Oryctolagus cuniculus: one gene and its partners. The protein of the gene in region 3 purifies or fractionates together with the protein of the main gene of each other region. This does not show direct contact. Links are inferred from orthologs where the notes say so. Each region holds a gene or a part of one and is shown on either strand. Other genes may lie near its edges.

Region 1 (5,848 bases), on a different chromosome or scaffold from region 3:
ACACAAATGGAGTTCCTGGCTCCTGGTTTTGGCCTGATCCAGCCCTGGCCATTGCAGCCATTTGAACTAGTAGATGGAAGCTCTCTTTCTCTGTCTCATCTTCTTTGTAACTCTGCCTTTCAAATAAATAATTACATAAAGAAATTTTTTTTGAACGGAAGAGACAGAGTGCCCAGTCGCTGAAACTGGGGGAGAGCGAGGTTACAAGGTTGAAAAGAGAGAATTACACCTGGGCAGGCCAGGAGGGCGGCTCAGTAGAGAGGCAAAGGTGAGCGCACAATCCATTTGGACTCCCTAGGTTTTTTTTGTTTTTTTTTTTCTTTTTTTTCTTTTTATTCACAGAGAGAAAAGAGGCAGAGAAAGAGAAAGGTCTTCCATCTGATGGTTCACTCCTCAATAGGCTGCAATGGCCAGAGCTGTGCCGATCCGAAGCCAGGAGCCAGGAGCCTCCTCCGGGTCTCCCACGCGGGTACAAGAGCCCAAGGACTTGGGCCATCTTCCACTGCTTTCCCAGGCCATAGCAGAGAGCTGTATTGGAAGAGGAGCAGCCGGGACTAGAACCAGCACCTATATGGGATGCCGGAGCTTCAGGCCAGGGTGTTAACCTGCTGTGCCACAGCGCTGGCCCCTACACGTATTTTTTTAAAAAGAGAAAGGTCTGAAGGGGAGAGGTACAAAAGTGGATCTGTCCACTGAGCAACAGGATTATGGATTTAGATTGTTAATAATCATGAACTAGAGATACAGACTAGGAGACATCAGTGTATACTTAATCTAGACCCAGAGAAAAATCAGTTTATCAAATTGACTGAAACTGAGGTGTCAGGTGGAGAATCCAAAAAACAGATGAAAAAAACAGACAAGAATTTCAAACAGGAGTACACAGCTAGTTTCAAATACAGCAGAGGGCAAACCATCTAAGAAGTCGAAGTATCCCCTAGACCACTGCTCTGGGGTTGAGTCAGAGAGAAGGGAAACAACAGGGAACAAACAAACAGCAAGTATAGGCTACTCTGCAGAAAGACTTACACAACAGGACAGGTGGTAAGTAGTAAACTAAAGAGAGCATTTTGTTCGTTCACGCACATCCCTCCCTTTCCCAGCCAAGAACACCTACCTGGATGGGGCATGCCACCTGGTGGGAAGGGGTGAGGATGTGAGTGTCCATGACCAGGATGTCCAGCCCCCGGGGTGCCTGCTGATGGAGGGCCATGTCCTCCAGCCCCAGGAGGCATTGGTGGGGGGGGCATGGCTGGAGGTATTCCAGGTGGGAGGGCTCCAGGAGGCGGCACTGGGGGTGGGAAAGAGCCAGGAGGAGGCATGCCTATATAGAAATCAGAAGAAGGATTAATGGCGGTGGGCAAAGAATGCCTTTAAAGAACCTGTCCCAGTTTGACCTGTCTATGCAGGGTGAGTTCTTGCCCCCTCCTCCCAGTGCTCTAAGGTCACAAGCCATGTTGCACTACTCAAATAATCCTACCTCCCTGGAGAAGCCCGACAGAGTTCTTCACACCCCTCCCACCCACCACCTCCTAACTCCCTTCTCATCACCCACTGACTCAGGAGATCTTCCCTTTCCAGGTTCTTTGTTCTCCTCACTGCAGCCCCAAGACAAACGTATTTGCGAACCAAAAGCTTTACCTGGTGGAGGAAGCCCAGACCCCAGTGATGATACCACAGGGTTGGGAGCAGAGGGTGGAGGGGGTGCATCTGCAAACAGCTGATGTGGGCGATCAGCCTGGGAGAGTGGGTTCTGGGCTGCCAGAAGTCGTTCAGCTGCGGAGCCATGGCGCTCACCCTTGGAGTCCTTCTTGAAGGCATAAGACACGGTGATGGGGCGGTTACAGAGGTACTGCCCATTCATGGCCTCAATTGCTGCATCCGAGGCATCAAATGAAGCAAAATTAATAAAGGCATAACCTTTGGAGTTGCCTGTGTCAGGGTCCCGCATGATCTTGGGGGTTTGTAAGATGACCCCAAAGGCGCTAAAAGTATCGTAAAGCAGCTTCTCGTCAATCTCCGGGTCCAGGTTCCCGATGAAAATGTTGGCCCCGACATCCAGGTTTTTGTTGTGAGCTGATGCCTTGTTCACTCGTATTGGCTTCCCATAGAGTTTGATCATGTTCATGATCTTAATGGCATAGTCAGCATCTTCTTCACTCAAGAATTCCACAAAGCCATAGCCTAAGCAGGCAGAGAGGAGATTAGCAACTAGAGCGAAGATACCCGAAACTGGGTAAAACTCACCCACCCTCCAATCACAAAGAACAAGAAAATGATTTTAGAAACAAACTGTGAACTGAGGATTAAGAGAAAGCAATCTGGGGCCGGTGCTGAGGCACAGTGGGTTGGGCATCTGCCTGCAGCACCAGCATCCCATATGGGCGCCAGCTCAAGTCCCAGCTACCCTACTTCTGATCCAGCTCCCTGCTGATGGCCTGGGAAAGCAGGAGAAGATGGCCCAAGTCTCTGGGTCTCTGCACCAGGGTGGGAGACCTGAAGAAGCTCCTGGCTTCAGACTGGCCCAGCTCCGGCCAGTGCGGCCATTTGGGGAGTGAATCAGTGGATGGAAGGCCTCTCTCTGTCTCTCCCTCTCTCTGTCTGTAACTCTGCCTCCCAAGTAAATAGATAAATCTTTAAAAAAGAGAAAAGAAGAGGAAGCAATCTTCTGGTCGCTCATTCTGAAACAAGTATAAATACCGCTGGGACCCTCAGGAGCAGCTGTCAGATACATAAAGTGGCCTCTTGGCGCGGACTCACCTTGGTGCTGGCCAGTGACTCTGTCCTTCGGCATGTGAGTGTTGACCACCGGTCCTGCCTGCAGGAAGAGCTCCCACAGCAGAGGTTCGCTAACCTTCTCGTCCAGGCCCCCCACGTACACAGTAGCATCTGGAGGGAGGATGCAGGAATTTAGGATGGGGACGAATATGACAGGAAAGGAGCTGACCGGGACATAAAGATGGAACCCAGTTAGAGGAACTGCAGGCGGGGATGTGGGACAGAAGCGAAAAGGGGGAGGTGGAAAGCATCCAAATAAGCCCTAAATCGTCCTCTTCGCAGGACCTAGAGCCCCTTCTGAAGTTCACTTTAGTGTCTGCTGCAAATTCCGTCCCACTCAGAAAAGGCAGCAGGGGGACTGCACGAAACATCACACGTCCAGGCCTCAGCCTGCACCCGGCCAACCCGCCCGCACCAGCCACGGAAGCGAGTCTCGCGCCCTCCGGGGGACGGGGGTCCAGTTTCCCGCCTTGGAGACGCTACTGGCCTTAGCTGGGGCTTCCCACCCTCCCGGGCCCATTCCGGACTCGTCTCCCCGCCCAGTCACCCTGGTTCCGCTCGGAGATCGGCCCGGCAGCCATGGCGAAAAGAATCCCGCCGCCTCCAAGCAGCGGCTCCGCCCTCTGGCCGCGGTCACTACTTCCACTTCCGGGGCGAAGACTTACGTGACGCTGGGCGGGGCCCGGACGGGGGCGGGGCCGGAAGCGGCTGCGGCCATCTTAGGATCCCGCGGGACTTGACGGTGCTGTGGCGTCCCGGTTCAGAGGCGTTTGGATTTGCGCCGAGGTTCCGGGGCGAGCGGTCGTAGCGAGGAGGGCGGGGCAGGAAAGCGCAGGCCCTCTGAAAGCAGTGCCAGACGTCTCCCACCGGTGCGGGCGTTTGGCACAGCGGTTAAGCCACAGCATCCTCAGTCAAGAATTACAGGGTCCGAGCCCCGGTTTCCCCCGACTCGAGCTTCCTGTAAATGCACACCTTGGGAGGCAGCAGAAACCCCAAGTTTGGTCCCTGCCACCCATGTCGGAGACCTGGATTGTTCCCCGCTCCCGGTCTGCGTCTGGCATGGCCCCGACTGTTAGAGGCATTTGGGGGAGTGAACCAGCGGATGGAAGTTGTCTGTTCCTCTCTTTCAAGCTAAAAATAGTAACTCTTCGTGTATTTTGTAGCCAGCTGATCCTTTTGTCACCCAAAGGAAAAGGTTCTCAGGGACCCCTCAACCTAAGGACTCTGCTCCACAAGCGTCTTAGTTTTGGCCTCATGCCTCTGGCTGGCTCGAGGTAATGTCTGAGCCGGAGTGTGAGCAGAATCTGAGGCTCCCCGGATGGAGTGTGACCAAAGCTGCAACTCCAAGAGCACTTTCTGGCCCCAGCAACGTCATAATATGCTCTTGGCTGTCTGCCTCTAAATGGGAGATGAGAATTCTGAGCCTCACGTGGTCCAAATCCATTCCTTTCTTAGAAATCATACGATGGGGACCTTTTCTCAAGTCTTTGCTATCTAGGATCCTTCATTCAAATCCAAGAATCAGTGCCAGCAATGTGTATAAATATTGTGCTTTAATGAACTTAAATAGAAATGCCACTACAAAAATGTACAGTTGGAAGAGAGGGTGTGTTTCATATCCACTTTGTTTCCAAAAGAAACTATACAGGAAGAAACAGAAATTGGAATTAAAATAGGCAGCAAGAAGGGGCAAGAATGAGGTCTTTAGGCCATACTGTTGGAACTGGTGAACAGCGTCTCTGGTGTCACAACTTAAATAGCTGGCTATCTATAAAGCAATTACATTGTGGATTGTTTTGTTTCTTAATTCTTCAACTCCCAGGAAACAACAGCTTCAGGAACCAAATAAAAGGACAAGAATTAAAGATTAGCACCACCGTCCACAACAAACTCAATTCTAAGTGAGTTTGCTTAAGAGCTGGAGTGTGAAAGCTGAGGCAACAAGGCCATATACAAAACACTGCAGTATTAGGACTCTCCCTCAACCCAGATCCCCCGCTGCTCTTTGAGAATGCCAGCAATTTCAGCAGGAATGAGAGAGAATGGTACTTGGATCTCTTTTCTTGGAGTGATCACCAGGAAACGCTCTTGGTGTCCACTTCCTTAATAGTTCCTGAAGATGGGATAGTTCATCCTGGAGGCCAGAGACTGTGAGAGCTGAGAGGCCCATCTGGGAAGGGTGCCAATAGGGACAGAGAGAAACGTCATTGCAGCTCTAGACCCCTGCTTCTAAGATCTGCCCGCTACTTGTGGTGCCTAATTGTCTTTCCCCTCCCAACTCTGCCCTAAATTCCATTTAATGTAAGCTTCTAGCAGTTTCCTCTAACGGTACTTCATTTCCCAGCCCGCCCAGCCCCTTGCCTTCCCAGCTCTGTTCATCTGGTTCAGCTGTCAAGCCCCTTCCCCCACTCCCAGTCCCTGTCTTCTTTACTCACCTGGACCTCGGGCCGTCCCCTCAGGTAGCAGCGTCTCCAGAGCCTGATCTGAGGTCCCAGATACCCAGGCAGCAGCAGCCCTGGAGGTAAAGGGCAAGCTCCCCAGTGTAAAGGGAGCCCCCACTCTTGGTCAGCCAGGCTTTCAGAGGAGACAGCCATCCGGGGTAGCCAACGAGAAGAGACCGCCAGCAGAGAGGGACTCTCCCGCCACGGACAGAGCTGGTGTAGAGGGGTCAGGGCCCCTTTAGAGAACAGCCACACAGAACTGGGAGGGCCAGGAACCAGGAAGCTTGGCTAAATGGGAAAGGGAAATCAACTGGCAACTGAGAAACCAGACAAGCTCAGTGTCCCCAGTCTGTTAGGAAGGGCATGGGACTCCTATCTACACTTGCACTGGCAACCAGAACCCCAGGCCTGCGCTCAGAACTGTCCTCATCAGGCTGCAACTAGGGCTCGGGACCGATGAAAGTTGATTTTAGGGCAACTTGTAAAATGTATGTGTGAAACAGGAAGACTGAGAAACAGGAATGAGAAAGACAAAAGTATAAGCCTCTATTCTGTCCTAGGACTTGTGTCTTCCTGGGGAAAGTCAGAGACTGACAGCTGCAGAAGAGAAGTGGGGAGGCTTCCCGGGA
Region 2 (6,156 bases), on a different chromosome or scaffold from region 3:
GGGGAGGGAAGTACCTTTCTCTCCATGCGTTCCTCCCGGGTCTCTGCACGCGTTGGAGGGGGGGCATCTCGAGGGTCCTGGGAACAAGAACGGAGGGACAGGGTGGAGGGACGGGGACAACCAGCGAATAGCACAGCGCTGCCCCACTGTCACAAACACACGTGGGCAGTTCCCAGGCCACACTGGAGGCAAAAGTGACAAGATCAATGCACATCCACAGACCGACGCTGTCCACAAACTCTGCGGTCTGAGAGAGATGAAAAGTATCTGGAAACTTCCACAGCAATTTGACAGAGCAGTGTTACGCACACTCACTCCAGAGATAAACCCCAACCTTTACAGGTGCTTCTTTTGATTTTTTTCTTAAAGACGGGAACAGCCAAGGTCAGGGAGCCCAGGCATTCAACCCAAGCCTCTTACACTTGACCACCAGCCTGTTGCCTTTTTTTTTTTTTTATTATTTGACTGACAGAGTTAGAGAGACAGAGAAACGTCTTCCTTCTGTTGGTTCACCCCCCAAATGGCTGCTCCGGCTGGAGCTACGCCGATCCAAATCCAGGAGCCAGGTGCTTCTCCTGGTCTCCCATGGGGTGCAGGGGCCAACCACTTGGGCCATCCTCCACTGCACTCCCTGGCCACAGCAGAGAGCTGGACTGGAAGAGGGGCAGCCGGGACTAGAACCCGGTGCACATATGGGATGCCGGTGCTGCAGGCAGAGGATTAACCAAGTGAACCACGGCGCCAGCCCCAGGTGTTTCTTTTGAAAACCCCAAGAGCTGACACATGGCACAGTGAAGCTGCCACCTGTGGCGCCAGCATCCTCTATCAGAGTGCCGGCTGGAATCCAGCTGCTCCACTTACAATCCACCTCCCTAATGCGCCTGGGAAAGCAGCAGACGATGGTCTGAGTGCTTGGTCTCTGTCATCCACGTGGGAGACCTGGACAGAGTTCCTGGTTTCTAGTTTTGGCCTGGCCCAGCCATAGCTTCTGCAGCCATCTGTGGAGTGAGCCAGTGGACAGAAGACCTGTCTCTCCCTCTCTCCTTCTCATTCAAAATAATCTCACTACATTTATTGAAATTTTCAATCTTGGGCTGTTGCAGCAGCGTGGAAGATGAAACCTCTCTACAGCGCTGCATCCCACACAGGCACTGGTTTGAGTCCCGGCTGCTTCACTTCTGGTCCAGCTAAGGCCTGGGAAAGCAGCAGACGATGGTCCAAGTGCGTGGACCTCTGCACCTTCACAGGAGACCCAGAAGAAACTCCTGACTTCTGGCTTCAGACCAGCACAGCTCCAGCCACTGCGGCCATGTGGGGAGTGAACCAGTGGACGCAAGACCTTTCTGTCTCTCCCCTCCTCCTCTGTAACTCTGCCTTTCAATTAAATAAATACTAATTCCTTTAAGATAGTCTCACAGGTCCCTGTCTTGCACCGACGACGACGTGTCTGAGGACGTGACAAAGCAGAGTGGGGGCGGGGGCGCTTGCTCAGGAGAGCAGCAGCAGGAGCTGACACCTGGGCACGTCCTGAGGGCCAGGCAGCTCTCTGAGCCCTCGCAGCCACTCCGTAGGCAGCGATCACCAGACAGAGTTGCTGGCCTGTGCCCATTAAATTAATTTAATTGGCTAATAACACTTCCCAAGCACGAGTTCACTGGGAGTGGCCAATCCAGTAAGAGCCACCTTGTGTCACCTCGGCTCTGGAGCCTCCATCGCAGCCTCTCCCTACAGCACTGGAGCGGCCTGTGACACGGACCGCCCTGAGGCGGGGTCATCACCCGACCTTACAAATGAAAACACTGAGATCCCGGAGCCTAAGCTGCACCAACGGTGACCCACAGTGCAGATCTGAGAGCCCCAGGCTACGGTCTTAATTACGCCACCCACACAGTGCCAATTCTTCAGGAACGACACTCCGTTAACAAGAACGGCAAATACAGGGGCCGGTGCTGTGGCACGGTGGGTTAACACCCCAGCCTGCAGCGCCAGCATCCCATAGGGGCTGCCAATTCGACTCTCCGCTGCTCCACTTCTGATCCAGCTCTCTGCCACGGCCTGGGAACGCAGTATAAGACGACCCAGGTCCTTGGGCCCCTGCACCCGTGTGGGAGTCAGGGAAGCTCCCGGCTTCGGATCAGCTCAGTTATGGCTGTTGCGGCCATCTGGGGAGTGAACAAGTGGATGGAAGACCCCTCTCTCTCTAACTCCATCTTTCAAATAAAGAAAAATAAATGTTTTAAAAACATGGCAAATACAGTCACAAATGCTGACACGTATCGACTGCTTGGTACCAAGCGCTCTGCCGTAAATGCTATTTATTCTCCGTCCTGCTGTCAAAGACAGCGAATGCATCGTGGGGATTCTGTACCGCCCAAGACCACACAGCAGAGAAGCACCCGGCGTCCGCGGCCGACCCCTCCCGCCGCGTCCTCCCCAGCGCCTTCCAGGGGCTGCCCTGCCAGGCCCCCCGAGGCCTGGAAGTGTCCACAGCCGCGAAGCCGGCCTGGCTCACCTCGAACTCCCGGATGTAGGGCGCGATGCCGCAGTAGGGCTGGTTGTGGTGCTTCTCGTGCGGCAGCTTTTCCAGGGGCGGCAGGTAGGGGATGGGGTCCCGGGGAGCGAAGAGGGCCAGGAGGTTGGGCGGCAGGAACTGGGTCATCTTGCCAGGTCTGGGGAGAGAGGGTCAAGGCCTTGTGGCGGCTGCCTCGCCCGGGGAGCGCGCCGCCGCCGCCGCCGCCGCCGGGGGAACAAAGGCCGAAGCGCGGGCGAGCGGGCAGTCGGGGCTGCGGCCGAGGGAGGCGCCCGGGGCGGGGGTCGCAGGCGCTGGGTAGCCGGAAGTCGGCGCGCACCCCGCTCCCCGCCCCCACCACGCAGGGGCTTGTGGGTAGCAGGTCTGGGCTCCCGGCGGCGAGAGGCATTGTGGGTAATGGTCCAGGGCGCCCCGAGAAGCGAGGGAGGGGGCGGGGAAAGGGCAACAAACGCGCAAGGGCCTGTGGGAAGGGGACGGCGGCGGGCGGGGGCGTGTTTTGGGGAGAGCGCCGAGTGTCCGGGAAATTCTAGGCGAGGGCCGCGGAACGGTGCTGCAGGGGGGACGCGGCCGTCAGGGAGGGGACCCCGGCCCACCGCAGGGGCTTGTGGGTAGCGGCCCCGCACCCCCTCAAGACCACTGGGTCCCACTCACCCGCCGCGCGGTGCCCTCCTCGGCCTGGCGTCGGTCCGGGGGCTCGCGGCGGCTGCGGCGGCCCTTCAGCAACAAGCACTCCTGCTCCGGCTTCGACTCCGGCGCCGTCGGACTCGGTCGCCCGCCCCCCGCGCGCGCAGCAGGCCTCTGCTCGCGAGCCCGCGCGGCTTCGGCTCGCAACGGGAGCAGGAGGTGGAGCCCGGCCTCAAATCCCTCCGCCGTCGCCCTGCGCACGCGCAGCGCCAGCCGCGCGCAACCGACCTACAGACACCGGGGCCGCCGCGGGCACGGCGCACGCGCGAGGCCCTTGCCCCGCCTCCCGGCGCCTTCAACTGCGTGCCGCGGCTGGCTGCGGCCGTACTACGCACGCGCGCTCGTCCCCAAGCGCCGCTTTCCACCTCGCGCCTGGACTCCAACCGCCTTTGCCCGCGAGGCTCATCCCGAAGCCCCGCCCCCTTACCTAGCACACTTCCCGGATCTTTGGCGCATGCGCATTGACTAGAGAACGGGTAATACCCTTCCGCCACCTGGCAAAGAGTCCCTACGGGAATAGTGTTGGTTGCGTTGATCGTCCGGCTAGTGGGCGTCCAGCAATCGCTGTTTAGGCGCTGGAGGTGTGAAAACCTGATTTTTGGTTCCTTACTTTGTACTGAGGGAGAGTGTAAAGGTATTTAGATGAAAAATACAACTTCAGGTAGTGGCCATCTCAAGGACAAGAGCAGGGTGGGGGGCGGGAGGGGACAGCGAGGGGGACAGAGGCGCCCAGGGCGATCGGGGCGCGGCTAACGGCAGGTGCCCAGGGCCTGAGCTGGGACGGGCATTTCCTGGGTGTCCTGCATGGGCACTTGGTCCCAGGACCGAATTCTGCCCGTGAGTGTGAAATGGCCCGCTGCTCACTTAACGATGCCTAACACAATGTGAAGCCTGCGCCAAAATTATCCTTTATCATTTAGGGCATGAAGAAAAGTCTGCGTGTTCAGTACAGACGCGCTGTTTGCTTTCTGGAATGTTTCGGGTGCACAGCCCGTGGTGGTGGAGAGTGGACCGCACTGTGCTTGATGCCTTTAGGGGGAGCTCCGTTGCCTCGTTCATGATACCCAGATTACTAACTTCACTTTTTTGGCACAATTTTTACTTATTGGGAAGGAGAGGGACGCAGAGCGGTCTTGCTGGTTCACCCCCGAGACGCCCACGACAGCCAGGGCTGGCTCACAAGTCCTGGGGCGCATTGAGTGAGGTGCGGTCGCCGGGACCTGCGTGGGCGTCGTTTCTGAAATCCTTGCAGGGGTCAGGGGCTGGCGCTGGGACACCGGGCAGCCCCACCGGCGAGGCTGGCGTCCCAGCTGCTGCGTTTCCCGCCAGCTCCCTGGCCAGGGGCCCGAGCAGAGGAAGACGGCCTGTGTGGGAGGCCTGGGTGGGGTCCTGGCTCCTGGCTTCAGCCTGGCCCAATCGCAGACATTTGGGAAGCGAACCAGCAGACGGAAGATCTCTGTCTCTGTCTCTGTCTCTCTCTTTTTTTTTTTTTTTTTTGACAGGCAGAGTGGACAGTGAGAGAGACAGAGAGAAAGGTCTTCCTTTGCCGTTGGTTCACCCTCCAATGGCCGCCGCGGCTGGCGCACCATGCTGATCCGATGGCAGGAGCCAGGTGCTTCTCCTGGTCTCCCATGGGGTGCAGGGCCCAAAGACTTGGGCCATCCTCCACTGCACTCCCGGGCCACAGCAGAGAGCTGGCCTGGAAGAGGGGCAACCGGGACAAAATCTGGTGCCCCAAGCGGGACTAGAACCCGGTGTGCCGGCGCCGCAAGGCGGAGGATTAGCCTAGTGAGCCGCGGTGCCGGCTTCTGTCTGCCTCTCCTTCTCTCTCTATGTAACTCTGACTTTTAAATAAATAAATCTTTTTTAAAAAGTTTTATTTGAAAGTGTTACTGAGAAGGGAGAGAGAGAGAGACTCTTGCATCCGCTGTTTCGGTCCCCAAATGGTCACAGCAGCTGGGGCGGGGCCAGGCCACAGTCAGGACCTGGAGCTCCATCCAGGTCTCCCAGGTCAGTGCCCAGCGTCTGCTGCTCTGCCGAGTGCACTGTCAGGGAGCTGGATCAGAAATGGAACAGCAGGCGCTGGGCTGCTGGCCTCACACTGTGGCTTAGCCTGCTGCGCCAGCACCAGGATAACATTCTTAGCGAGAGCCTTTGGCTGGTGATACATTGTTATCAGATCCGCCCCAGGGCATCAGGGCCTGAAGCACCACCCAGTGATGGTAGCAGCCTCGGGGATCCTTGCCTGCTCCCAGGATTGCCAGGGAGGAGGGGCCAGGTTTCATTTATAATTAGGTAGGGAGTCACTAGGGTGATGGTCAGGGGAAAGAACCGAATTTACATTTGTGGAGATCACTTGGGGGGGGGGGGCGCAGGGAAGGGGCTACAGGGCAAGAGTGAGAGGTTGGAAGCCCAGATTCCAGGGGAAAGACCAAGGGGGCAGCAGCAGGTGGCAAGCAGTGGTCAGTGGTCAGGGCCACTTGCTTTCTGAAGGTGCAGCTCGAAATAGTGTTTCTTGGCCAGCATCCTGTATGAGCGCCCGTTCCAGGCCAGGCTTCTCCATGGCTGATCCAGTTCCCACTAAGGAGCCTGGGAAGGCAGCAGCAGATGGCCCAGTGCTTGGACCCCTACACCCAACATGGAAGACCCGGATGGAGTCCCAGGCTCCTGGCTTTGGCCTGGTCCAGCCCAGACTGTAGCGACCATTTGGGAAGATCTTTGTCGGGGTCGGCGCTGTGGCATAGCGGGTAAAACTGCTGCCTGCAATGCCAGCATCCCATATGGGCACCAGTTCAAGTCCCGGCTGCTCCACTTCCAATCCAGCTCCCTGCTATGGCCTGGGAAAGCAGTGGAAGATGGCCCAAGTGCTTGGGCTCCGGTTCCTGGTTCCTGGTTCCTAGCTTTGGATTGGCACAGCTCTGGCTGTTGGGGAGTGAGCCAGT
Region 3 (5,935 bases):
CACTGCACACTCTGAGTGAGATAACAGAAAAATCAGAATGGGGACCCAGAGCTAAGATCCCTTCTCCTCTCATCCCAATTGCTGAAGAGACACAGTCTGGAACACACACCCAAAGTACTCTGCACTCATTCAGGCACATAGAAGCCTTGCCTCACACTGTCTCCACCTTTATCCAAGTCCCCACCATCTCTGATTCACACCAAGTGAATTCCGTACTCTCCCTCTTTACTCCCCAGTCCAATCTTCATCCAGTAGCAGATGTGAATCTTTCTGTTACTCCAAAGTTTTAACACTCTCCACGTATAAAAATTCCATTTCCACTCACTGCCCTTCATAAAACCTATGTGTTAAACCTATGACTTTCCCCAAGATCAATGTTTTACCTAGACTGCCTAATTTCTGAAAGGTTTTCACTACTCTATTCGCTGAAACTTCAGACTGGATTTCCTCTTTGATCCATAATTTTTGTTTTATATTGCTTCACAAGTTTAGTTATCATTTTAAATCTTTGGGTTATTATTAATTTCCAGTATTTTTAAGACAAGAACATTGTCTATACTGCCATTATTTTGAAAATATTCTACATCTCAGTGCATTCTGTTTTTGCCTATTTGAACTGTCATAAGAATGAATTAACCTCTACTTCTGTATTTCTATGAAAAATACATAAATAAAAGGAACTCGAACTCCCTATAACACACTTAATTAAAAGTGAAAGCAAAAACCACAGTTTCAAGCATATATTTACAAATCTACGAAACATTCATAGTGATTAAAGCAAAAGTAACAGTACTGGCTTACCATTGGTTTACCATAAAATGGAAATCCTTGTAACTGTCTCAAAGCATTTGTGGATGAGCCCAGTTCCTTAAAAATAACAAAGGCCTGCCCTCTCATCTTCATGGTCTTTAAAGCCACAATATCTACCACATGGCCAAACTGAGAAAATAGGGCATACAGGGATCTCTTCAATTCTGTCCAAATAAGAGGGGAAATAACTTGTGAACGAAGGAATGAGAAAATTCTTCATTAAATGACAGTACATTGAGTGCTCTGTCACCATTTATTTATACAGTTAGTAGTTATATATGTAAGTAAAAACACAAATTGCTATTCCCATTGGTTATCTAACGTAAAAAGTTATTTGAAACCATTATATGAGTAGCTATGAGTAAGAACAGATTCAGCATGTTGTCAGTCACTACCTATTTTTGTTTTTAAAAAGCCTGGAAATCCTTACACAAACTTTATAAATTTATTACTGGAGGCCGGCACCGCGGCTCACTAGGCTAATCCTCCGCCTTGGGGCGCCGGCACACCGGGTTCTAGTCCCAGTCAGGGAGCCAGATTCTGTCCCGGTTGCCCCTCTTCCAGGCCAGCCCTCTGCTGTGGCCAGGGAGTGCAGTAGAGGATGGCCCAGGTGCTTGGGCCCTGCACCCCATGGGAGACCAGGAAAAGCACCTGGCTCCTGGCTCCTGCCATTGGATCAGCGTGATGCGCCGGCCGCGGCGGCCATTGGAGGGTGAACCAACGGCAAAAGGAAGACCTTTCTCTCTGTCTCTCTCTCTCTCACTGTCCACTATGCCTGTCAAAAAAAAAAAAAAAAAAAAATTTATTACTGGAGGTAAGAAAAATGAGTTTGGGTGTAGTACAATTTTGTAAGATGGTAGTAAACAAACACATTTTAGTTATCAATAAGTATTTTTAAAAACACTTACCTTCTTTTTTAATTTTGTCATTCATATTATTAATATAAATTGTATGATTTGGTCTGATATCCATGTCTGAGTTAAAATGTTCAAATAGCCTAAAGAGAGGATAAAAAAAAAAAAAAAAAACTGTTACAAACAGGTGTGATTAAATCAATACAGCAGAAAGCTGTTGGCTTTTCCGTTTTCTTTCAATCGCTATGTCAGAATGTCAGTTGGGTCATAGACTCTCTCTCCAGCAATAGCTAGTCCTCCTCTGTATTTCTGTTTGAGAGGCAAACGCACACACAGCCAGAGGCAGACAATGAGCTCCAAAGCTCTGCTTCACGTCCCAAATGCCCAGCTGTGGCCCAGCTCGACTGAGGTCAAGTGAAGCTAGAGGCTCCTCAATCCAGGTGTCCCACGTGTGTGCAAGAACCCAATCACTTGAGCCACCACTGCTGTCTCTCAGGTCTGCATTAGCGGAAGCCGGAGTCAGGAGCGAGAGCCGGAACTCAAGCCCAGGCACTCTGACATGGGGCAGACATCTTAACTGCTACATCAGATGCAAACCGCAAGCCCTCATTTTTACAATTCTCAAGCTCAAAATTTAGTGAAACAACAGCAGCTTGCCAGAGTTTAATAAAATTGTATTCAATACATTTTTATACTTTCCTTTCACTTGTGCTACTTCCCATCTGCCTAATGAAGTAACTTGTATTTGTAAGCTGGTTTAAAAATTTTGACATAAAGAAAAATGAAAAAGAAACTACCAAGTGTACAATCCAGAACAAATCGTTAAGACAGAACATCAATGTAGTTTGTTCCTGGGTGCACTTACAAAGCACTTCCATATCTATCAATCACTGTGCATAAATTTCCACCTGCCATCTTCACTCCAGGATGACCTCTAACAGACTTGGCAAAGACCTTAATCTCTCAGGTCTTCATCTGTCAGACGGGGCTGAGGTGGGGGCGGGGCTGGCCAGAGCCCCCGAAGTTCTAGCACAGCTCTTGCATCAGAAGCCCCCAAAGGAGCTAATATCATGGCTGTTACAAGTCAGGGAGCACGCTTGAGGTCACACAGCTCTTGATCAGAAGGCCTGGGAATTCCGTCCTTGCAACCCACTGGACGATTTCCACACTTCACGTGGTTTTTAAGTTGCCAAGTGTGACCTTGCTTTACTTCCCTGGATGGCCCACAGATAATTAGGTACTAAACACTGCTTGCTGTGTTTACACACAGCGAGGGAGGAGCCTATAGACCGATGTACTTGTGCAGGTGGCAGATGAATAGAAACGTTTCTTAAAGACTCGACATTTCCCCAGTCGAAACCTGGAAGAGGAGCAGGGGGTCGCCAAGTTTTGACCATGAGAAGGGAGCGAGAGAGATTAAAGTGAAGGCGAGGAGAACAAGAGACCAAGAAGCTCGGTGCTGGGCTAATCAGAGCAGGGCACCTGGTGTCGCACCTCTCCCCTCCGCCAAAACAGAAACAACAGATCCGCAGGAAACCACCTGGAATCTCCCACGCCTCGCATTAACGGGCGTACTCTGTACGCGCCAGCTTCCTGCCTCTCCAGACACAGACTCTCTGCCCCGGGGCCACGCCGCGATCCAAGGACCGCGCCAGTCCCGCCAGAGACGCGCGCCGCTGCTAAGCTCCCCTGCATGGCCGCTCCCTCGTCTCAAACCGACCCCTCCACAAAACCAAGGCGAGACGCCACCCGACCACACCTCGCGCCTCGTACTGTTCGGGCTGAGCAGCGTGAAGAACCGCAAAACCGAGGAAAACGGGAATCCGACTCACCAGAGGACTACGCCGTTCCCACGAGCAACCGGAAGCCGGAAACGGTGCCGAAGGCGGAAGTGACAATGAAACTCCTCAATCGAGCGCCGACAAGTCGAGAAGCCCAGCGCCGAGTCGATCGATGCCTCCCGGTCTCCCGCGGCCCCAAGCTGGGGAACTCTCTGCGCATGCGCCTACGTGCTCTGCTGAAAGAGGGCCCGGGAAAACGGAAGAGGGTTGAGAGAACTGGATAGAACCCTGGGGCCATGCTGTGAGGTAATAAAAAAGAGTGGTTCATTTACCCCCACTAAGACTGAGGGAGGTTTTAACTCACATAGCAGTTCCCTCTACCTTTCTGAATCCTATGTGAGGTTTGCGGGCGCAGCCCCTCCTGCTGGTTTCACCCCTTCTATGGGTCAGCCTCACCTTTAGGACAGCCTATACTGCTGCCAGGGGTTCTGAGGTAGCTCCTCAACACTCTGCTGATGAGCTTAACTCTGAGAGGCAGAGCTGGAGTCGGAGGCCCTGGAGCAGAGACTGAGTGGGGTGTGCCTTTAACATCTACCTAAACTCACTCAAAACACCACAAAACACTTGAGTTCCCGACACCCTTCTCACTGCACTCCCCGCAGATGCTTAGATTTTTCTGGAGATAACTTAAGGTGTTAGTGAATGGAAATTCAAAACCGTGCATTTGGTCATTCGTTCATCCGTCATCTGAGACGTGCTAAGAGCCACCTGGAATAGGAAGGCTTTAGGAGTCAAAGCAAAGGGCCCCATGGCTTGGGACGTTGCGTGGGGCTCCAGCGTCCCGTATTTGTGTCCAGGCTGCTCTGCTCCTGATCCGGCTTCCTGCGGATGCATCCTGTCCTGGGAGGCAGCAGCTGAGGGCTCAGGTACTTGGGGCTCTGCAAGCCACCTGGGAGACCAGAATGGAGTTCCAGACTCCTAGCTTCAGCCTGGCCCAGCCCCCGGCCTTGTGGCCAGTTGGTGAGTGAATCAGTGGATGAAAGAGCTCTGTCTCTCTCTGCTTTGCAAATAAATAAGTCAAAAAAATTTTTTTAAAGAAGCCAAAGTAAATCTAACCTTGTGTCTTCCTCTTAACTAAATCTCTCTTTCTCTTTCCTTGCCTATGTAACAGGAATCTTAATAGTACCTTCTTATCACTCTGGGGACTAAATGGGTGCTCTGTAAAATGATTAGAACATTACACAAAGTCACTGGTTCCTAAATGTTACCTCTAGACTCTAACTATGACTTGGAGGTATGGATGAAGGTGGTAGGGGCCAAATAGTTTGATTTTATCACCTGAGGAGTTTTATTTTAAGAGTCAACATAAAGTTGCAACAACTTAAAAATAATGTAAGTACTTTGAAGGTGGGGATTTTTGTCTGTTTTGTTCATTTAAAAACCTTCAGTAATTAAAAGAGTCCCTTGTATTCAGTAAATATGCATTGCGTGAATAAATGAATGAAGCCTCATGGAAAGTAAGGCAACACTGAAACAAGTGTGATATCTTATTAAGATGCACAGTGGTGTAGGAAATAAGGTTACATGATCACTGGAAAGCATTCCCTTATGATATATATAGAAATTCTAGAAGAAACGTGTCCTGTCTCACTTTATTTGTGGGGGCAGGTATTGTGATGCAGCAGATTCAACCACTTCTTGGGAAACCCGGATGCCCTATCAGTGTGCTGGTTGGAGTCATGGCTGCTCCTCTTCCCATCCAGCTTCCTGCTGATGCACCCTGGAAGAAAGCAGATGATGGCTCCAATGCTTGGGCTTCCTCCTAGTGCAGCCCTGGAGACTGTAGCCATTTTGGAAGTAAATCAGTGGATGGAAGATCTGTCTATCTTTCAAATAGATAAATATTTTTTAAAATTTTGAGTGTACCTTAGCAAACTAAATGATAAACAAATATAAAATATAAAACAAAACAAATATAAAATAATTTCTGAATGACAGCAGAGAAGCTGCCTTGCAAAATAAGGTGAGCAGCTGAGCAATTAATTACTTGAAAGAGGCTACACCATGACTGTGCCAAGGCTCTCCCTGGGAAGAAATGCCACAGGAAACACAGAGGCCTGAAGACTGACTGCATAGCATGTTCTGTTAACAACTAAATTACAGCTACTGCACATTGCGTTCTGAGAAGAAAACCATTTAATACCGACCCAGTGGCAATGTTCTGCATGTTCTTTTCCAGGCTGTTTTACAAAGAGCCAGTATGTTTTGCTGTCCTTGGGCAGTAACTTTGGGCTTCCCAATAACCTGTTAATGGTCTTCAGTAGTTTCGTGAATGATTTTGAGAAAGCAGTAATTGAAAGCATGGCTCACAGGCAATGAGGGGAGAGAAGAGCTTTTCTGATCTTGTGAGAAGCTTTGTATGGCCTGATTAATTTACATGGCATTAAGAACATTATATCGCCGGCGCCACGGCTCACTAGGCTAATCCTC
Region 4 (5,922 bases), on a different chromosome or scaffold from region 3:
TATGGCCTGGGAAGGCAGTGGAGGATGGCCCAAGTCTGTGGGCCCCTGCACCCACATGGGAGACCTGGAGGAATTTCCTGGCTTCTGGCTTTGGCTTGGCGCAGCTCTGGCAGTTTAGGCTATCTGGGGAGTGAACTAGCGGATCAAAGGCCTCTCCCTCTTCTCTCTCTGTGTCCTTCTGTAATGTGCCTTTAAAATAAATAAATCTTTTAAAAAAAGATATTGCACAGTTTCCACATACTTTTTGAAGAACTCATATAGGTATGCTGTATGTTTTAAGTAACTTAATAGCTAGGAACTTGGAGAAACATGCATATATTATGAAGGAGCCAGCAGGTTCAGCTATTCTATGTCTTGAGAAGACAAGGGTGAATAGGTGATACCCACTCTGCAGCTTTTTTTCATTTCATTTTTCCCTCTAGTTATAAGATTAACACATGATTATAGCAGAGTATTTGGAAAATACAAAAGACACAAAGAAAAAAATCACACATAATCCCATCATTCACAAACATCTACTGTTAAGATATTGACAACTCTTTTTCTTTCTTTCTCTTTCTTTCTTTCTTTCTTTCTTTCTTTCTTTCTTTCTTTCTTTCTTTCTTTCTTTCTTTCTTTTTTCCTCCCTCCTTCCCTCCTTCCTTCCTTCCTTTGACAGAGTTAGACAGTGAGAGAGACAGAGAGAAAGGTCTTCCTTCCGTTGGTTCACCCCCTAAATGGCTGCCATGACTGGAGCTATGCCAATCCGAAGCCAAGAGCCAAGGGCTTCTTCCTAGTCTCCGACGCGGATGCAGGGGCCCAAGCACTTGGGCCATCCTCCACTGCCCTCCTGGGCCACAGCAGAGAGTTGGACTGGAAGAGGAGCAACCGGGATTAGAACCTAACGCCCATATGGGATGCCGGCGCTGCAGGTGCAGTATTAACCAAGTGAGCCACGGCGCCTGCCCGACAACTTTTTCAATATATATTTTTCACATGACAGATTACCTTATATATAAGAATTTGTCTTTTTCAAAGACATGAGGCAAAAAGCTTGATGTTCTTTTGATTTTTTTTTTGTTTAGCAGGTTTTTTTTTTTAAGATTTATTTATTTTATTTGAAAGTCAGAGTTACACAGAGTGAGAAGGAGATGCAGAGAGAAAAAGAGGTTTTCCATCTGCTGGTTCACTCTCCAACTGGCAAAAATGGCCTGAGTTGTGCTGATCTGAAGCTAGGAGCCAGGAACTTCCTCTAGATCCTCTCACGCAGGTGTAGGAGCCCAAGCACTTGGGCCATCTTCTACTGCTTTCCCAGGTCATAGCAGAGAGCTGGATTGGAAGTGGAGCAGCTGGGACTGGAACTTGTGCCCTAGTGGGATGCCGGCACTGCAGGCAGCAGCTTTACGCTTTGATAAGCCACAGCAAGGGCCCCTCAATAATTTGCATAACAATCTTTCTTATCCTGACCCCACATTCCCTATTAGATTAACTTCTTTTTTAAAAATTTTATTATTTATTTGAAAGTCACAGTTACACAGAGAGAGGAAAGGCAGAGACAGAGAGGTCTTACATTGATAGTTCACTCCCCAGATGGCTGCAATGGCTGTGCAAAGCCAGGAGCCAGGAGCTTCTTCCAGGTCTCCCATGCAGGTGCAGGGGCCCCAGCACTTGGGCCATCTTCTACTGCTTTCCCAAGCCATAGCAGAGAGCTGGATAGGAAGAGGAGCAGCAGGGACTGGAACCAGCACCCAAGTGGGATGCCAGTGCTTCAGGCTAGGGCGTTAACCTGCTGGGCCACAGTGTAGTCCCCCCTATTAGATTAACTTCTGTTTGAACTAATAAAGAGATGGAAATTAAACATCTGAAGTTTTAAACTTATTAAATCGATTATTTCACAGATGCTGATAAAAATCCTATGTGTTACTGAAGTTTCCACTAAGTATTTATTCAGACTGTGTCTATCAAACAGCAAGCTAACCTTCTGCTGGCTCTAACCTTGATCCCTACCTGTTTACCTAGGCTGCTTCCTAGACCCAACCTCCCTCCTTAGTTCTTCTGTTTTTTTCAACCCCAAAGTCCAAAAATAGTGTCAAGTTATGACAGCATAATTCATATCTAAGCATAAAGAACACCACTGTATTCTGACTTACTAAAGTTCCTGATTTAGGAGTAACATTTAGGGCAATTGTATTCTAAGAACCTATAAAGTGAAAAAGCTTTATAATGGTGACAGCATTCAAGTTGTGCAATTTGGTAACTGTGTGACTTTGCACAATTTACATATCTCCCCATTCTAATTTTTTTTGTCTTCAATGGTATTAGCAATAGCTTGCCTATTTTACTGGACTATTTGTGAAGTAGTTTGGCAACGTCAGTTGGAAACGAAACTCCTATAGAGACAGCAGGCAATTATTGAGAAAAGGGCAGCAGGAAAAATGACCTTGAAAGTTAGCGTGAGGTGTGAGACTGTTAAGACTGTCTCCTTAGCTAAGCACGGCAACAGCTGAAACATGCTAAGAAAGCTTTTCTCCAGCCCCGAGACGCCTTTGAATTTGGACAAAGGTAATTGAAAGGCTGAGGTCTCTTCCAGCTCCGAACCCATAGTTTCCCACAGGGTCTGTTCTTATCCACCACCGAGTAATCTACCCACTCACTGCCTCCCTCACCCCCAGGCAGAGTTTTCCCGGGTCACAAACTAAGACCCGCCCCCGGACTAATCCCGGTTCCTCCCACACCCACAATGCACCTCGCGATTCCATCTAGGTGGCTGCTCTGTCACGTGTCATTCGACGGAGCGCGCTCCCGCTTGGCGCACGCGCAGAGAGCAGTCCCAGCTATTTTTCTCCGTGGCGGCGGCGACGAGCGGAAGTGCTTGGGAGCGCCAGTTCCGTCTGTGTGTTCGAGTGGACAAAATGGCGAAGATCGCCAAGACTCACGAAGGTAAGCAGGCTCTCCCGTTTACGTGCCCTCTCTGCCGCCATCCTGCTAAGACTGCCTTTCCGAGCCTCTGACGCTCCTTTAGTTTTTTTGTAGGGGCCGAGTCCGCGCTTTGGGGGTCTGAGGCGTCTCCTCGGCGCTAGCGGCGCAGCCCACTGCCCCGCGTAATGGCGTCCTACTCGTACACCCACGACAGGCGCTTTGTTCCGTGTTTGAATGCAGCTGCTTGAGGGTTTCTTCTCTTCCCTGACCAGAAGCCTCGTTTAAGCGGGTGGCTAAGGAGGATTCCAGGCCGACGGATAGGGGAAGCGTGGGAGGAGAGTCCCGCTCACCTCTTGGTACTGTGGTCGGCATAGTTTGTGCAGGGAGTCAGGAAAGCGCTGAAATAGGCAGCCGCTTTTCGGGGAATGTTAAACCGAGGCCGCAGACTCCTAACCCTGGGTAAAATGTGTGTCTTCAGGTGTCTGGGTTACTTGATTATTTTTCTTGGAAGAAATGATCCGGTGTTTTTTGCCTTCCTTAATAATTTATAGTATATTTATCTTTTTCTTTGGTGGCTGATTATTGGAGGAGCATGTGCAAAAGGAAAGTCATATTATATTGGCTGGTGACCGAAGTTTTGAAGATAGTTGATCCTTTTCTAGTATACAGGGTATACAAAATTAGGCGAATGTTGGGAGTAGAGTGAAATCCATTAGGGAGTGTCCAGAGAATAGGAAGTGGGGATTGGGAATTTAGAACTGCACTCCTTGATTTGGCTTTGGATCCAAAATTTACACTGTACACAAGGCTTTCAAGATGACTTTTATTTCATGTCGTTATTTATGTATGTCGTTTCTTGGTGTGTGGTTTGGTATTGGTCTGTGAGAGGTAAGCGACTCAGAGGCCATCAAACATTCTAGTGTGATGGGGTACACTGACACGTATTTATCTGAATTTTCTTAAGAGGCCAGATGACTGCTTAGATAGAAATGTAAGCAGTGTGTTCTGCGAACTTGGGTAGGAGTGATGGATTTATGGTTAGGGCTGTTTTCACAGAAGAGGTGACGTGTCCCCAGTCTTGAAAGGATCAGTCAGTTTTAAATTAGAGGAGGACGTGTGAACCTGAGAGAACTGTTAACAAGGCAGTGCGTCTGAAAAGTATGTTGGAGAAGTCTGCAGTGGCAGGAAAAGAGGTGCAAAGGGGAAGTAGAAGATGAATCTGGAAAGGTTGGTTAGGACCAGAATGTGGATGGAACTGAGGCTCAATGCTTTCTAAGCCCAGAACTGTTCTTAGGCCTTAATCCTTTGTTTTTAGACTATCTCAAAATACCTTTTGCAAAATAACCAGAAAATATAAAGATGTTGCAAGTTTTGTTCATTCAGGAGTAGATTACTCATTTGGGGGTCACTTAGCAGCGTTGATTGCTTATTTATTGGTATCTTCAATATCTCATAACCTTGGTCAGGAAAATCAAAAATTGCAGTTGGTTTTCCTGCATGTTAGAAACCCAGCTAAAAGGCCTTTTGATTGCAAATCGTTGTTTTATTTGAGATTATGCTATCAATGTAAATTAAGTAATGCCTTAAAGAAAATAGTGGAAAATTTGGTATAACATCTGAGTACTTTCTGTGAAAATTATCACTGTGTGTGATAAGTTGCAGGGTGATAACTGTTAAATAGAAATACAGTATTTGCATAGCTTCTCGCTCTCTTCCTTGTGGTATTTTTCTGCAGAACTCTAGTTCTTTGTGCTTTAGCTATTTTCACTTGTCAAGCGATTTCTTATAAGCTGGAAATTAGTTTCTTTTGGGGTTGGGGTGTGCTATTGTAGTATTCAATATATTTGTATTATTTCACTTAGGATAGTTTTTCTATTAAAGTTTTCTCATACTTTGAGGTTGTTTACAGGAATTCTATCTTAGAATACCCAGTAGGTGCATTATGTATGCTTAAATATTTAATCAACATTGAAAGATACATACTGGAAGTATTAAAAGAGTTTCACAAACAAAAGGTACTTAATTGATCTTTGAAAGTTTGTGTTGGCTTGACTATATGTATTTGGGTGAGATAGATGGGGAAGCAAGACTTTACACTTTGGGAACTTCCTCAACTGAGAGGATGAAATATTAGGTTAGTGTCATCGTGGAAGGCTTCCCACCAGTGGCCACAGATACTGGCTCTTTCCTCCAGGTCATATTATTTCTGTGTTTTGGGAAGGTCACAGGTTGTAGTGTGAAGGATGACCTGGAGTCAGCAACCATTCTTAGGCTATTGAAATAGAGAGGATGACTTAGATTGAATCCCACTGGCGTGGCCTTTAAAAATATGTAATATTTATTTTTGTTTCAAGTAAAAAGATTATACAATATTTATTCTAAATGTTTCTGGTACAGACATTTCTTTGTCGTACCATGTAATTCATTATTTTTTATGTAAGCTTTTTGGAGAATTTAAAAATTTTTTTAAAGATTTAGAGAAAGAGAGCTTCCATCTGCAAGTTCTCCCCAAATGCCTGCAACAGCCAAGGCTGGGCCAGGCCAAAGCCAAGAGCCTGGAAGTCGGTCTGAGTCTCCCATGTGGGTGACAGGACCCAATTATCTGAGCTGTTACTGCTGTCTCCCAAGGTGTGCATTAGCAGGAAGCAGCAATTGGAATCAGGAGCAGAGCCAGGATTTGAATTCAGTCTGTCTGATAGGGGGTATGGGTGTTCCAAGCATGTCTTAACACTACGCTAAATACCTCCCTCTCCCCTCCCCCAAAAATTTATTTTTATTTTTAAAAAGTTTTAAATGGAAGAGGAATAGACAGACACAGACAGGTCTTCCATCTGCTTGTTTATTCTTCAAGTGACTATAGTAGCTGGGGCTGGGCCAGGCTAAAGCTGTAACTCCATTCGGTACTTCCGTGTAGGTAGCAGGAACCCAAGTACTTCATGCATGGCTTACCCCATGCTGCCACAATGCCCCACCCCCTTGTAATTTTTATTTGAAATGCACAGTTTCAGAGACAGAAAGGTAGAG

Evidence for each region. Proteins that work in one complex are often made in the same cells at the same time.
Region 1: the proteins of SNRPB2 (region 3) and SF3B4 purify together in Homo sapiens (affinity purification with mass spectrometry; 4 studies listed by BioGRID and IntAct, with this or other methods). This does not show direct contact. The link is inferred for Oryctolagus cuniculus from reciprocal best matches to the Homo sapiens genes SNRPB2 and SF3B4.
Region 2: the proteins of SNRPB2 (region 3) and SNRNP70 purify together in Homo sapiens (affinity purification with mass spectrometry; 5 studies listed by BioGRID and IntAct, counting the BioPlex papers as one, with this or other methods). This does not show direct contact. The link is inferred for Oryctolagus cuniculus from reciprocal best matches to the Homo sapiens genes SNRPB2 and SNRNP70.
Region 4: the proteins of SNRPB2 (region 3) and SF3B1 purify together in Homo sapiens (co-immunoprecipitation; 6 studies listed by BioGRID and IntAct, with this or other methods). This does not show direct contact. The link is inferred for Oryctolagus cuniculus from reciprocal best matches to the Homo sapiens genes SNRPB2 and SF3B1.

What each region holds. Positions count from the first base shown.
Region 1 is NC_091438.1:48,024,807-48,030,654, reverse strand, and holds the start of SF3B4 (splicing factor 3B subunit 4), read right to left. Parts: upstream 3,449-5,848; 5' UTR 3,360-3,448; coding exon 3,326-3,359; intron 2,890-3,325; coding exon 2,761-2,889; intron 2,185-2,760; coding exon 1,642-2,184; intron 1,325-1,641; coding exon 1,118-1,324; intron 1-1,117. UniProt on the Homo sapiens protein: Component of the 17S U2 SnRNP complex of the spliceosome, a large ribonucleoprotein complex that removes introns from transcribed pre-mRNAs.
Region 2 is NC_091449.1:8,222,818-8,228,973, forward strand, and holds the start of SNRNP70 (U1 small nuclear ribonucleoprotein 70 kDa), read right to left. Parts: upstream 3,449-6,156; 5' UTR 3,182-3,448; intron 2,670-3,181; 5' UTR 2,660-2,669; coding exon 2,513-2,659; intron 78-2,512; coding exon 15-77; intron 1-14. UniProt on the Homo sapiens protein: Component of the spliceosomal U1 snRNP, which is essential for recognition of the pre-mRNA 5' splice-site and the subsequent assembly of the spliceosome. SNRNP70 binds to the loop I region of U1-snRNA.
Region 3 is NC_091442.1:41,759,412-41,765,346, reverse strand, and holds the start of SNRPB2 (U2 small nuclear ribonucleoprotein B''), read right to left. Parts: upstream 3,648-5,935; 5' UTR 3,497-3,647; exon of another isoform or gene 3,424-3,496; intron 1,808-3,423; 5' UTR 1,783-1,807; coding exon 1,719-1,782; intron 975-1,718; coding exon 802-974; intron 1-801. UniProt on the Homo sapiens protein: Involved in pre-mRNA splicing as component of the spliceosome. Associated with sn-RNP U2, where it contributes to the binding of stem loop IV of U2 snRNA.
Region 4 is NC_091434.1:42,820,121-42,826,042, forward strand, and holds the start of SF3B1 (splicing factor 3B subunit 1), read left to right. Parts: upstream 1-2,474; 5' UTR 2,475-2,489; coding exon 2,490-2,541; intron 2,542-2,742; coding exon 2,743-2,919; intron 2,920-5,922. UniProt on the Homo sapiens protein: Component of the 17S U2 SnRNP complex of the spliceosome, a large ribonucleoprotein complex that removes introns from transcribed pre-mRNAs.